Linked DNA regions of Arabidopsis thaliana. The protein of the gene in region 1 interacts with the protein of each later gene in a biochemical or structural test. Each region holds a gene or a part of one and is shown in the gene's direction. Other genes may lie near its edges.

Region 1 (5,955 bases):
TCCCAGTTGTTGACAATACCATGCTCAATTGGATACTTGAGAGTCAAGATACCACGTTTCGACTGTGCCTCGTCTCCGACGTATGCATCCTTTTGTCCCATTCCAACCATCACTCCCGTGTGACGTGGACGGCCAACGATACTTGGGAATACAGCTCTAGGAGCATCATCACCTGCAAAACCAGCCTACACGCACATAGTTGAATTGCTTAACTTATGGCACATAATAACATTCACAAATCTTGTTTCTCTAAAGCTTTTTGATTACCTTGACCATTCCAGTCCCGTTATCGCAAACGAGCGGCTGAATATCTTCACCGTCCGCCATTTTTCAATCTCTAGCTGATTACATCAACATAAGAAACATAGCAAATTCAAAGGAAACACCAATAATTAATGCCAATCTCATAACTAAATCTAAAACAATAAAATGTAACCATTAAATCTAATTCGTTACGTATACCATAATCAAACGCATTAGCGTTACATTTATATTGGTTTTGCCTCCTTGTGATCAAAATTTTGACATCAAATAAACAAAAAAAATAACATGTACCTGATGAATTTACGTAGATCTAGAAGAAAAGAAAGAGGTTGTGGAATCGTGCCCTGAAATTGGGTTTCAAAAATTTCTGGAAAACAGAAGCAACTTTGGCCCTTAATATCGTTCATACACGGGTCTGAGCCGTTAGTTTTCTTCATTGAGACCAATATCTCAGCCTCTATAGACACGTGTCCATCTATTTTTAGGTTGGAGAATTAAGAAAACACCAGCCTAACCTGAAAATACGGTTTAGGCTCTGTTTTACCGGAAGAATCGGGTCACCGAACAAGCATGAGTGGTAATGAGCCCATTTGGGCCTAAGAAAAAGGTTAAAAGGCCATTTTCTTTAGATTATTCAATTTTAGACAATCAGTGAAATTTCAGTAACATTTCCTTCTAGTTTCTAGTAATTTATGTGTTCAACCGAAATTTCAGTGCTATGTAAAAGAGTGCTATCCAAACTATAATTAAGAAAAAGGGTAAAAGATCTTAGTGGGTGAGGTATGGAAATTGCTGAAAAAGTTCTGGGAAGAATGAGAGTAATGATGATAACGGTAATTGACAAATGTGATAATGATGATAGGGATATGTGCAAGTAAAATAATCAAGCATGTGCATAAGATTCATTATTTGACATGAGACTTTATTATGTGTTTTTGCTTATTATAGTTTCTTACAAAACAAATGAAGAAAGTAGTGAACAACATACAACAATACTAAATAACAGTGTGATTGTTGAAGAAATAGTTTCCATTTAATATTTAAAACTAGGCTTCCAAGGCCTTGACAAATTTCATTAGAGAAGGATTTATTTTTAATTAGTGGAATATATGATCAAGAAAATAAATTGACATTTTGGTATAGATTAGGGACATTGGAGACAGAGGGGTTGATTTTGAGATTGAATTTTGACTTTTCTGTGTATTTAGCTTTTAGCCACCAATTAAAGCAAACATTCATTCATTTTGTCATGTTGATCGCTGCACTTATCTAACTAGAGTATTATTCCCTTTTCGAGGTACCCAGAGGATTAAGCATTTTTTTTAAAAAAAGAGCCTAATACTTTACCTAATAACAAGAAACATGTAGAGTAGAAACAAGTAAAAAAAAGTTTAAAAGAAGAAGGATTAGATCAAAAGAAATAACTATTTTAGGATAATTTCGTTGTCCAGTTGAACTATTTTTAATTTTTCTTTTTAAAATATTTTCTTGCATGATTAGAGAGATAGAGGTATAAAACCTTTTTAATTCTTCAATTATCACTAAATCCAAAATTATAAATGCATTAACAATTTTGTTCTTCTATGACACCCCAAAAATGTCACCAACTACAGCAAAAAAGTGACCACTATATCCGTAAAAATTCGTATATTCAATCCGTGAAAATATAATAGTTGAAAAATATTCAAAATTTCACAAGAAAATTAGTAATTTTATAGAGAAATAATTTAAATGATAATATAATATATTAATGTAAAAAATAAAACAAACACAATCGTAACCGGTCCCGCGGCTTCGTGGTCGAATTTACCTTTGTTCCGGTTTAGTTCTTAAGCCGAGAGAATCGTACAAGTTGCAATAAGCTAAAGCCGTCAGCTAAACGACGCCGTTTTCGAAAAGTCCTCGTCTTCTCTCTCACACAATCTCTCTTTCTCAGAAATCTCTCTCTTTCGCACTTTCTGCAAATGGTTCTCTTCTTCCTTTAAGCTCAATCTCGCCACTGGAGTCTCAATCGGGAAAGATCTCCATCTTCTCCGGAGGAAAAACGGATCCGTAAATCGTGAATTTTTAAACAGAGAAGAATCAATTCAATGGAGGAAGAGAAAGCTTCTGCTGCACAGAGCTTAATCGATGTAGTTAACGAGATTGCTGCGATTTCTGATTATCGTATAACAGTGAAGAAGCTTTGTTATAATCTAGCGAGGAGATTAAAGCTGCTTGTTCCTATGTTTGAGGAAATTAGAGAAAGTAACGAACCGATCAGCGAAGATACGTTGAAGACTTTGATGAATTTGAAGGAAGCTATGTGTTCAGCGAAGGATTATCTCAAATTTTGTAGCCAAGGGAGCAAGATTTATCTGGTGCGTTTCTTCTTCGATTTATTAGCATCTATGATTAGATCTGTGTGGTCACTGAGAATTTTTGTTCTCGTTGACGAATTGGTGTTTTCATTGAATGAGAGAGCCACGTGCTTTGTTTTGCTATGGTAGTGTTTGAGTGATATCAATGCTTCTTTGGTATTTGATTAGATGTTAGATTTGGTAGTGGTTGATGTGACTTGATTGATCTATGGAAGTTGTTGAGAATTTGTGCTCTGATACACAAGAGATGTTGTTGTTCTGTGTGTAGGTGATGGAGAGGGAACAAGTGACAAGTAAATTGATGGAGGTGTCTGTTAAGTTAGAACAATCTTTAAGCCAGATTCCATATGAAGAACTCGATATATCGGATGAAGTTAGAGAACAGGTAAATTCTTGAAACCCAAGGCTGGCTAGGCCAGTGTCTGGATCAGTAAAGACGACATGTAGTTGATTCATAGCGTTTTTTTGGTTGTTGTAGGTTGAGCTGGTTCTTAGTCAGTTTCGGCGAGCTAAAGGAAGAGTAGATGTATCAGATGATGAGCTATATGAAGATCTTCAGTCGCTTTGCAACAAAAGTAGTGATGTAGATGCTTATCAGCCTGTGCTAGAGCGGGTTGCGAAGAAGTTACATTTGATGGAGATTCCTGACCTAGCTCAAGAATCAGTGGCTCTGCATGAAATGGTTGCTTCAAGCGGTGGAGATGTTGGTGAAAATATTGAGGAGATGGCAATGGTATTAAAGATGATTAAGGATTTTGTGCAGACGGAGGATGATAATGGCGAGGAGCAGAAAGTAGGAGTTAACTCTAGAAGCAATGGACAGACTTCTACGGCAGCGAGTCAGAAGATACCTGTGATTCCTGATGATTTTCGCTGTCCGATTTCGCTGGAAATGATGAGAGATCCAGTTATTGTTTCATCAGGGCAGGTATAGTTCACTTCAACCTCAGCTTCTTCAAATTTATTTCTGCGATCTCTTAAGATTTAATTATAGAAGCATGTTCTCCTCTATGTATAGACATACGAACGCACATGTATTGAGAAATGGATAGAAGGTGGACACTCGACATGTCCAAAAACACAGCAGGCGCTAACAAGCACAACCCTCACACCAAACTATGTTCTCCGTAGTCTCATAGCTCAGTGGTGCGAGGCCAACGATATTGAGCCTCCAAAGCCTCCGAGCAGTTTAAGACCCAGAAAAGTATCGTCCTTCTCATCTCCCGCAGAAGCGAACAAGATTGAAGATCTTATGTGGAGACTTGCGTACGGAAACCCCGAGGACCAACGATCTGCAGCTGGGGAAATCCGCCTTCTTGCAAAACGAAATGCAGACAACCGCGTGGCCATAGCCGAAGCTGGAGCCATACCTCTTCTCGTAGGTCTCCTCTCAACTCCTGATTCTCGTATTCAAGAACATTCGGTAACAGCTCTTCTAAACCTCTCCATATGTGAGAACAACAAAGGAGCCATTGTTTCAGCTGGAGCTATTCCTGGTATAGTTCAAGTGCTTAAGAAAGGAAGCATGGAGGCCAGAGAGAATGCGGCGGCTACACTTTTCAGTCTATCAGTGATCGATGAAAATAAAGTGACTATCGGTGCCTTAGGAGCAATTCCGCCACTCGTTGTATTACTTAATGAAGGTACACAAAGAGGCAAGAAAGATGCTGCTACTGCACTCTTTAACCTCTGTATATACCAAGGAAACAAAGGAAAAGCTATACGTGCAGGAGTGATTCCCACGTTGACTAGACTCTTGACAGAGCCCGGAAGCGGAATGGTCGATGAGGCACTCGCGATTTTGGCGATTCTCTCTAGCCACCCCGAAGGAAAAGCAATCATAGGATCCTCTGATGCAGTCCCAAGTTTGGTTGAGTTTATCAGAACTGGCTCGCCTAGAAACAGAGAAAACGCAGCTGCTGTTCTAGTCCACCTCTGTTCTGGAGACCCACAACATCTTGTCGAAGCGCAGAAACTCGGCCTTATGGGTCCATTGATAGATTTAGCTGGAAATGGGACGGATAGAGGGAAACGAAAAGCAGCGCAGTTGCTTGAACGCATCAGCCGTCTCGCTGAACAGCAGAAGGAAACGGCTGTGTCACAACCGGAAGAAGAAGCTGAACCAACACATCCAGAATCCACCACAGAAGCTGCAGATACTTAAAGATTGTCTTTGTTTTGGATCCTCGGGTCATCTCTTTCACGTACGTATGTTTATTATTCTCACTTTTTGTTTGTGCTACTCATCCTCCCTCGAGGTAGGATTCACGGTAGACGCGGAAGAGGGAAATGGCCTCCTTCTCCGATCTACTTTTAACTTTATGGTGATATCTTTGTGTGGACAGAGCAATCTGGTCCACAGGAGAGAAAAGCAAATATGCATACATACACGTCAACTTGTATCATTGTAACACTATGTTTGTAATCATTTCCACGAGCTTTTTTTTGTTTTCAATACAAGATCTCTCTGTTCGCTTTCTTAATAGCATTGAGATACTAATTGAATATAATGCAGATTCCCATTTTTCATGAACAGATGCGTAAACTGCTTGTAGAGTCGATAGATTCCATGCATAATGTTTCAATACAAGTATACAAAACTATCAAATAGTAAAATCTCAACCCGTTTTAAAATTTCTTAGAGAATCCATAGAACAAATATGTCTCCAAGCACAAATATAACATGTAATGTGACTCCACTACACTCATCACAAGTAGAGACCATTCCTTCGGATCATAGAGAGAGAGAGAGAGAGAGATAGAACACATCAAATACATTTCCAGTGTTAGATTATTATATATGTCGAACTACTTTACTAGATGTATTGTGCAAATAGATTCAAAAAGGGGTTGTTTAATTAGGGTTTAAGATTTTAGCAAAGTAAGGATATGAGTTTATTGCCCAAATCCAAGGTGTTCGGCTTTAATGTCGAAAACCAGAGATGGAACTATGAGATACTGTTTACAATGCGGTGACCCCTTTTGTAACATCTGCAAAGATGCGTGGCATAGTAACTTGTCGTGCGAAGATTACAAGAGATTGGGTCCAAATCCTACAGAAGATGATATAAAGTTCGAATCTTTAGCAAATCAGAATATGTGGCGTCAATGTGGAAATTGCAACCAAATGATTGAATTTTCTAATGGATGCATCAGAGTAACATGCATGTATCATCATCATCACATATTCACATTCTCTATCTGTTATAATTAATCCTTTTAGAATCTGTTTATGTTTTCACGTAATTAACAGTATCGTAATGTTCATGGTTGATGGATATCATATAGATGTGGCTACAAATTTTGTTACATATGTGGAGCCCAATGGAAG
Region 2 (6,837 bases), on another chromosome or scaffold:
GGATCCCAAAATGAGAGCGCCGCGTTCGAGAAAGAGCGTGAAATTGCTGGTGAGGTTGAAGCTTCCAGAAAGCCACGTGCCCTCCGGGACATTGAGCTGGGCCCCACCCTCCGCCGCAAAACCTTCAAGGTGCCTTACGGCGCGGCGGAAAGCGGCCGTGTTCGACGTCTTTCCGTCTCCAACACCGCCGAAATCGGTAATCGACATAACGATCCGGTTAGGGAACGGGTCGTGATTGAAAAACCCGGAGCAGGTAACAGGGTCGTCATATTGAGAAGTCGGGATCCAGAGAGGGAGAAAAGAATTGGAAGAGATTTGGAGAGAGAGAATCGCTAAGACGGTGAAAACAAGGAGAAGAAACGCCCACGAAGGTCTTGTAATGGCACTCAATACTGTGGTCGGATTCTTCTCCGGTTCCATTGTTTTTTGGAAACAGAGAGAAAACTCAAAAGCCCATGAAGCAAGCTCTGAGATAAAATTACAAACAGAAGAATGCTAAAGTGGGACTTTTAGATGGTTGGAGAGAATTATGCATGTGTGTGGCAATGATTAGCGTAGTGTGGTGGTGACAACAAACAAAGGTGGAGGAAGATAGAAAGTCGATAGATACCTTACCTCGAAAATTCGTCTCTCTCTTTGATTATTTTTGTATATATAAATAGAAAAAAGTAGTAGTAAATAAGAAAATTGGATACAGACACAGATATGTCGTGAAAAGGGCACTAAAATATTGGATGGTGCATGTGAATCGTCAAAAAGTGGCAAGGAGAAAGTGAAAGTCTTCACGAATTATATTTTGGTTTATATATAAAAGAAGAAGAAAGAAGAAGAAAGAAGAAGAAAGAAGATGGATGATACACAATCGGTCACGGACTCACGGGTAGGAAGGATTGTGAGGCGTTACAATCTCGTCAGACTTCCAAGTCTTAATCTGATGGGCCTTTAAATAGCCTACTGTACTGAGTTGTTTGTTGTGTTTTTGTTTTGTTTTTTAATGCCAAACTAAGGTATATGTCCGTATTTTATTGCTGGCAACATATACTCTGTCCGTTTGTGTTTTTTGTTTTTTATTTCATTTTTCCTCAAAATTACTTTTGTTCTTTTAAAAATATTAAATGGCATAAATAGTTAAACTATCAACCAGTAAATTATATATGATACAATAATGTTTTTTGTTTTGTTTAATTCATTGGACCAGATGGATTATTCAGCTTACATTTTTCAATATTGAATTGTAATTTTTTAGAGCTATAATCTTTAAAAAAGAATAAAAAAATCAAAAAAGCTTTTGCTCATCTTTGGAATAAACGAACTTGCTATTAAGACCAAGCCCAATAAACAATAAAAGCCCGAAAAAATAGAGCTGGGCCGGTAATTAGGATTATGATGATGGTATATAACTCACTATCAACTATCATGAGTTCATGACCATCATGGTTTATATCTAATGTCATATGATGGATGATGATAAGGTGGGCGAACATAACAAACATGATTCGGAATGAAGTCGTGCGTCTTTGACTTTGACTAGCTCTAAAAAAGCTTTGAAAATGCTCGTCCACGTCATCATCCTCTTTGTCGTTTTCTCAATCTTAAATGTCATTTTTTTAATATAGTTTTCACAGTACAACAACTCAACCCAGTAAAATCCCTTCTTTAAGCAAAGAAAATAATTAAAATTCGTCTTCCTTCCTTGCTCTCGGCGATAACTTGGTTTCTCTCCTCTCTCTCATCTCTCTTTGTTTCGACCCTTTTTTAGTATATTTCCAGGAAATATCTTCTTCCTCCTTTCGTTTTCTCTATCTCAGTTTTCTCTCTTCTCAGCATTAAGTAGTCAACGGTCAGCGATCTCGGCGTTCCTTCTAATCGGAAAAGTCTAGCTTCAGTTTCTTTTTTTTTTGCTTTTTTGGTTTCCGCGATTAATCGATTTGGGTATTTTGATTTTCTCTTCAAATTAAGTCAACGGGTGGATACGCGTTGAGAGGGCTTTTCTCGTATTCTGCTTCTAATTTCATCATCTTGGTATTACCTTGTGTGGGTGGTAGCTTAATCGAAGGATTCGAGATCCCTTTTATCAGGGGTTTTAACAATGATGGATTTTCTCTGATGAGGGATAGTTCTAGGGTTTGTTTTTAATCTCTTGAGGATAAAATGGAACGAAGATTAATGATCCCTTGCTTCTTTTGGTTGATTCTCGTTTTGGATTTGGTTCTCAGAGTCTCGGGCAACGCCGAAGGTTTCCCCTTTCTCTCTCATTCTCTTTCAATTTTTCATTCTTTCCAATTAAATTAGTTTCCCTTGTTGAGTATTTTGATTAGTATAGGCTTATGAGAGCTTGTTCTCACCTAAAGAAGGCATTTTTAACTTATCTGTTACTTGTTTTGCTGTATTGACTTGAGTTATATTTGGGTTACATCTGTTTCGACTGATTCCAGTGATTATGTATCCTCGTGACACTTGATGATTGCAAAGTTTGATTTTTTCTTCTTCTTTGGTTAATTGTAGGTGATGCTCTAAGTGCACTGAAAAACAGTTTAGCCGACCCTAATAAGGTGCTTCAAAGTTGGGATGCTACTCTTGTTACTCCATGTACATGGTTTCATGTTACTTGCAATAGCGACAATAGTGTTACACGTGTGTAAGTTTCTTTCTATATCTAGCCAAGATGATTCGGATTTTCGCATCTACTGAGAATTTACTTGAACTTCATTTTTGCTCAGTGACCTTGGGAATGCAAATCTATCTGGACAGCTCGTAATGCAACTTGGTCAGCTTCCAAACTTGCAGTACTTGTAAGTCATCTTTTCTTTAAAAGGCCGTCTTTTAACTTTTGGTGTATGTGGGATGTTAAAAATGTTACAATGTTCCAAATAACTGCATAATTTTGCATTATCATAGATTATTAGTTATATATCTTTCCGATCTTATGGTGAAATTAATATTAAAGAATGGTAATGACAGGGAGCTTTATAGCAATAACATTACTGGGACAATCCCAGAACAGCTTGGAAATCTGACGGAATTGGTGAGCTTGGATCTTTACTTGAACAATTTAAGCGGGCCTATTCCATCAACTCTCGGCCGACTTAAGAAACTCCGTTTCTTGTATGCACCATATTCTACTCTCTTCTTTTAATACGTTTTTAATAAGCAGCCTAATTATTGTCTTTAGTTTCCTTGATCGTGTTTGTCTTCCTGTAAAAGCTATTCGTGCAACGTGTTACATTTGTAGGAGTCAGAAAGTAGTGTCGCCAAATAGATGCTACGTTATTTTACTAGATGAAAAGGTGTTCTCTTGGAGACTAGGATGTTGTATAATATGGTCTATTTTAATTATGAGCTTTCGTAAAAGGAATCAGAACTCTATCCTTGTGTTCGCTTAATTTTACTGGAACAACACAAAGTTCCGAATTCAGGTGACTGTCTTTTTGGTTGTTCTCGTGTGTCACCTTTGTGATCTTCAATGGTAGTTATTGACTCGCTTATTTTGTATGAAATCGATTTGGTTCTGGAAGAATGAAATTCTATCAAAGATAACAATATTCTTCTGCCTTAGAATTTAAGCGCTAAACCCTATTGTTACTTATTAATTTGTGAGTGCTCTGTAAATCTAGAGGGTGAACGCATCTAAAGTAGTAAGTCGCGCTAATTAGGAAAATATACTTGATTTTTCAATCAGCTTCATATCTGTTGGATGAGATTTTAGAACAACCCCTACTTTTGAAAGTCTTTTAAAGTTTGTATTTTTGCTCTCACTATAAACTCATTACTGGTTAATGTATTTCCACTTATTCATGACATTCTCTTTTTGTATTGGTGGTTAGGCGTCTTAATAACAATAGCTTATCTGGAGAAATTCCAAGGTCTTTGACTGCTGTCCTGACGCTACAAGTTCTGTGAGTGTAACTTTATCTCTCTCAAATTCCTCTGTGTTCATGTTTCTGATTATTGTTTGGCCGATCTTGGCATTAAGTCAGAAAATGATATCATCTTATAATGCAGGGATCTCTCAAACAATCCTCTCACCGGAGATATTCCTGTTAATGGTTCCTTTTCACTTTTCACTCCAATCAGGTTTTGCATCCTGCTCCTAGTTTAAATCTTGGTGGAGAGGTCAGAATGTTTGATTAATTATTTGAAATTTTGCAGTTTTGCCAACACCAAGTTGACTCCCCTTCCTGCATCTCCACCGCCTCCTATCTCTCCTACACCGCCATCACCTGCAGGTTTTTTTTTGTATATGTCTTTGTCTTTGAAATGTTATTCAACTGAATAAGTAAACATTTTAAGCAGATCCATTAAGTATTAAGAAAGAGATTGTTCATTTCATTCTTGCAGGGAGTAATAGAATTACTGGAGCGATTGCGGGAGGAGTTGCTGCAGGTGCTGCACTTCTATTTGCTGTTCCGGCCATTGCACTAGCTTGGTGGCGAAGGAAAAAGCCGCAGGACCACTTCTTTGATGTACCAGGTTAGCTAAACTTGCTTTACCTGTTTCCTCATTAACACTTCTCTTGCTGATTTTTTTTTATTACCGTCTTTTTGCAGCTGAAGAGGACCCAGAAGTTCATTTAGGACAACTGAAGAGGTTTTCATTGCGTGAACTACAAGTTGCTTCGGATAATTTTAGCAACAAGAACATATTGGGTAGAGGTGGTTTTGGTAAAGTTTATAAAGGACGGTTAGCTGATGGTACTTTAGTGGCCGTTAAAAGGCTAAAAGAGGAGCGCACCCAAGGTGGCGAACTGCAGTTCCAGACAGAGGTTGAGATGATTAGTATGGCGGTTCACAGAAACTTGCTTCGGCTTCGTGGATTTTGCATGACTCCAACCGAAAGATTGCTTGTTTATCCCTACATGGCTAATGGAAGTGTTGCCTCCTGTTTAAGAGGTATCTCTCATCTTGTGCCTTTTTCTTTGACTGCAATATTTCCGTCCAATGGTTGCCTTTTTATCCGTAGTAATCTTATATTTTATTTTCTCCTTAGAACGTCCCGAGTCCCAGCCACCACTTGATTGGCCAAAGAGACAGCGTATTGCGTTGGGATCTGCAAGAGGGCTTGCGTATTTACATGATCATTGCGACCCAAAGATTATTCATCGAGATGTGAAAGCTGCAAATATTTTGTTGGATGAAGAGTTTGAAGCCGTGGTTGGGGATTTTGGACTTGCAAAACTCATGGACTACAAAGACACACATGTGACAACCGCAGTGCGTGGGACAATTGGTCATATAGCCCCTGAGTACCTTTCCACTGGAAAATCATCAGAGAAAACCGATGTCTTTGGGTATGGAGTCATGCTTCTTGAGCTTATCACTGGACAAAGGGCTTTTGATCTTGCTCGCCTCGCGAATGATGATGATGTCATGTTACTAGACTGGGTATATACATATATGAGTTTCCCACTTGTATAGTTCATTATCTGTGTTACCTCTATTTGTGTTAATTATTCATTTCGACAGGTGAAAGGGTTGTTAAAAGAGAAGAAATTGGAAGCACTAGTAGATGTTGATCTTCAGGGTAATTACAAAGACGAAGAAGTGGAGCAGCTAATCCAAGTGGCTTTACTCTGCACTCAGAGTTCACCAATGGAAAGACCCAAAATGTCTGAAGTTGTAAGAATGCTTGAAGGAGATGGTTTAGCTGAGAGATGGGAAGAGTGGCAAAAGGAGGAAATGTTCAGACAAGATTTCAACTACCCAACCCACCATCCAGCCGTGTCTGGCTGGATCATTGGCGATTCCACTTCCCAGATCGAAAACGAATACCCCTCGGGTCCAAGATAAGATTCGAAACACGAATGTTTTTTCTGTATTTTGTTTTTCTCTGTATTTATTGAGGGTTTTAGCTTCTGCTGCTCCATATTATTGGTTCTTAAGTGAATACATGAGGATCAGATTGGGTTTGTAAGTGTTATATGATGAAAAAGGATTTGAATGTTGTTGAAAGCTAAAACCCAAACATGTCTTAAGCTCACCACTTGAGGATTGTTGCGCACTTGATTCACAAATATGTATCCCATCAATTATTCTTTTTCACCGTGCGTCAGGTTTCTTTTCTTACCGGTTTCTGTGTTATCATGTGATTTCTAGATCCGGAGATTGTTCAGAAGAAAAGGAGACTTTTGCCTTTAAATAGCAATTGGACAAGAAAATGCAACCAAAGTATATTACTTTTTGATGGATATCTGAACCACACAAGCAATAAGTATACAACTGCATATTACGAGAGTACACAATTTTTACATAGTAGCCTAGAAGATTCATGATTCTTCATATAACAAGAGTAGAGAACTTATTATAAATACAAAAATCGTAAGTAGATGTGGTCTAGCCTAATTAATACTCCGACAATTTTGACGGACTTCACCTTGAGAGCCAAGTTTAACATCAAGATTGCTCATCTTGCGCATGGCCTGTTGGAAATCAAAGAAGAACTTGGCTTGGTTAAGTGCATAGCCGTTAACAAGATTCCTGGTCCTTGGTGTGTTGAATAAAGTTTGGTCTGAAAAGAGGACTCCTGATTTCATCTGAAGCGCATTGAAGTAAGCATTGTCGAAATCGTTGCGCGTAGCATCAAAGGGTTGCTCTGCATTGTCACCCGCGCTGCATGTTTTAGAGAGAGTGTTTGCAAAAGTCGAGTCTAATGAAGAGTCTGGGACGGTAAGTCTAGCCTTGAAGGAGGAGCATCGTGCAACTCCTAGGGTATGTGCTCCTATATATATATCCCCACAAATTATTAAGTTAAAACCAAATTAGATTATCACACACAATACACATATATTAGTTCTTTAAAGAACTGACCAGAGAGAGCAACAACATCTTGTGGAGTGAAACC

The links.
Region 2: of the proteins of PUB13 (region 1) and BAK1, one has a biochemical effect on the other in vitro, tested with the Arabidopsis thaliana proteins (2 studies listed by BioGRID, with this or other methods).

The regions. Positions count from the first base shown.
Region 1 is NC_003074.8:17,122,939-17,128,893, reverse strand, and holds PUB13 (plant U-box 13), read left to right. Parts: upstream 1-1,996; 5' UTR 1,997-2,354; coding exon 2,355-2,624; intron 2,625-2,892; coding exon 2,893-3,009; intron 3,010-3,102; coding exon 3,103-3,552; intron 3,553-3,642; coding exon 3,643-4,788; 3' UTR 4,789-5,163; downstream 5,164-5,955. Other genes in the region: ACT12 (actin-12), read right to left, coding at 1-185, 268-327. UniProt on the Arabidopsis thaliana protein: Functions as an E3 ubiquitin ligase.
Region 2 is NC_003075.7:16,085,603-16,092,439, reverse strand, and holds BAK1 (BRI1-associated receptor kinase), read left to right. Parts: upstream 1-1,662; 5' UTR 1,663-2,151; coding exon 2,152-2,236; intron 2,237-2,505; coding exon 2,506-2,638; intron 2,639-2,720; coding exon 2,721-2,792; intron 2,793-2,961; coding exon 2,962-3,105; intron 3,106-3,232; coding exon 3,233-3,373; intron 3,374-3,824; coding exon 3,825-3,896; intron 3,897-4,002; coding exon 4,003-4,074; intron 4,075-4,149; coding exon 4,150-4,226; intron 4,227-4,338; coding exon 4,339-4,470; intron 4,471-4,547; coding exon 4,548-4,889; intron 4,890-4,986; coding exon 4,987-5,381; intron 5,382-5,462; coding exon 5,463-5,786; 3' UTR 5,787-6,129; downstream 6,130-6,837. Other genes in the region: AT4G33440 (Pectin lyase-like superfamily protein), read right to left, coding at 1-420; AT4G33420 (Peroxidase superfamily protein), read right to left, coding at 6,335-6,714, 6,804-6,837.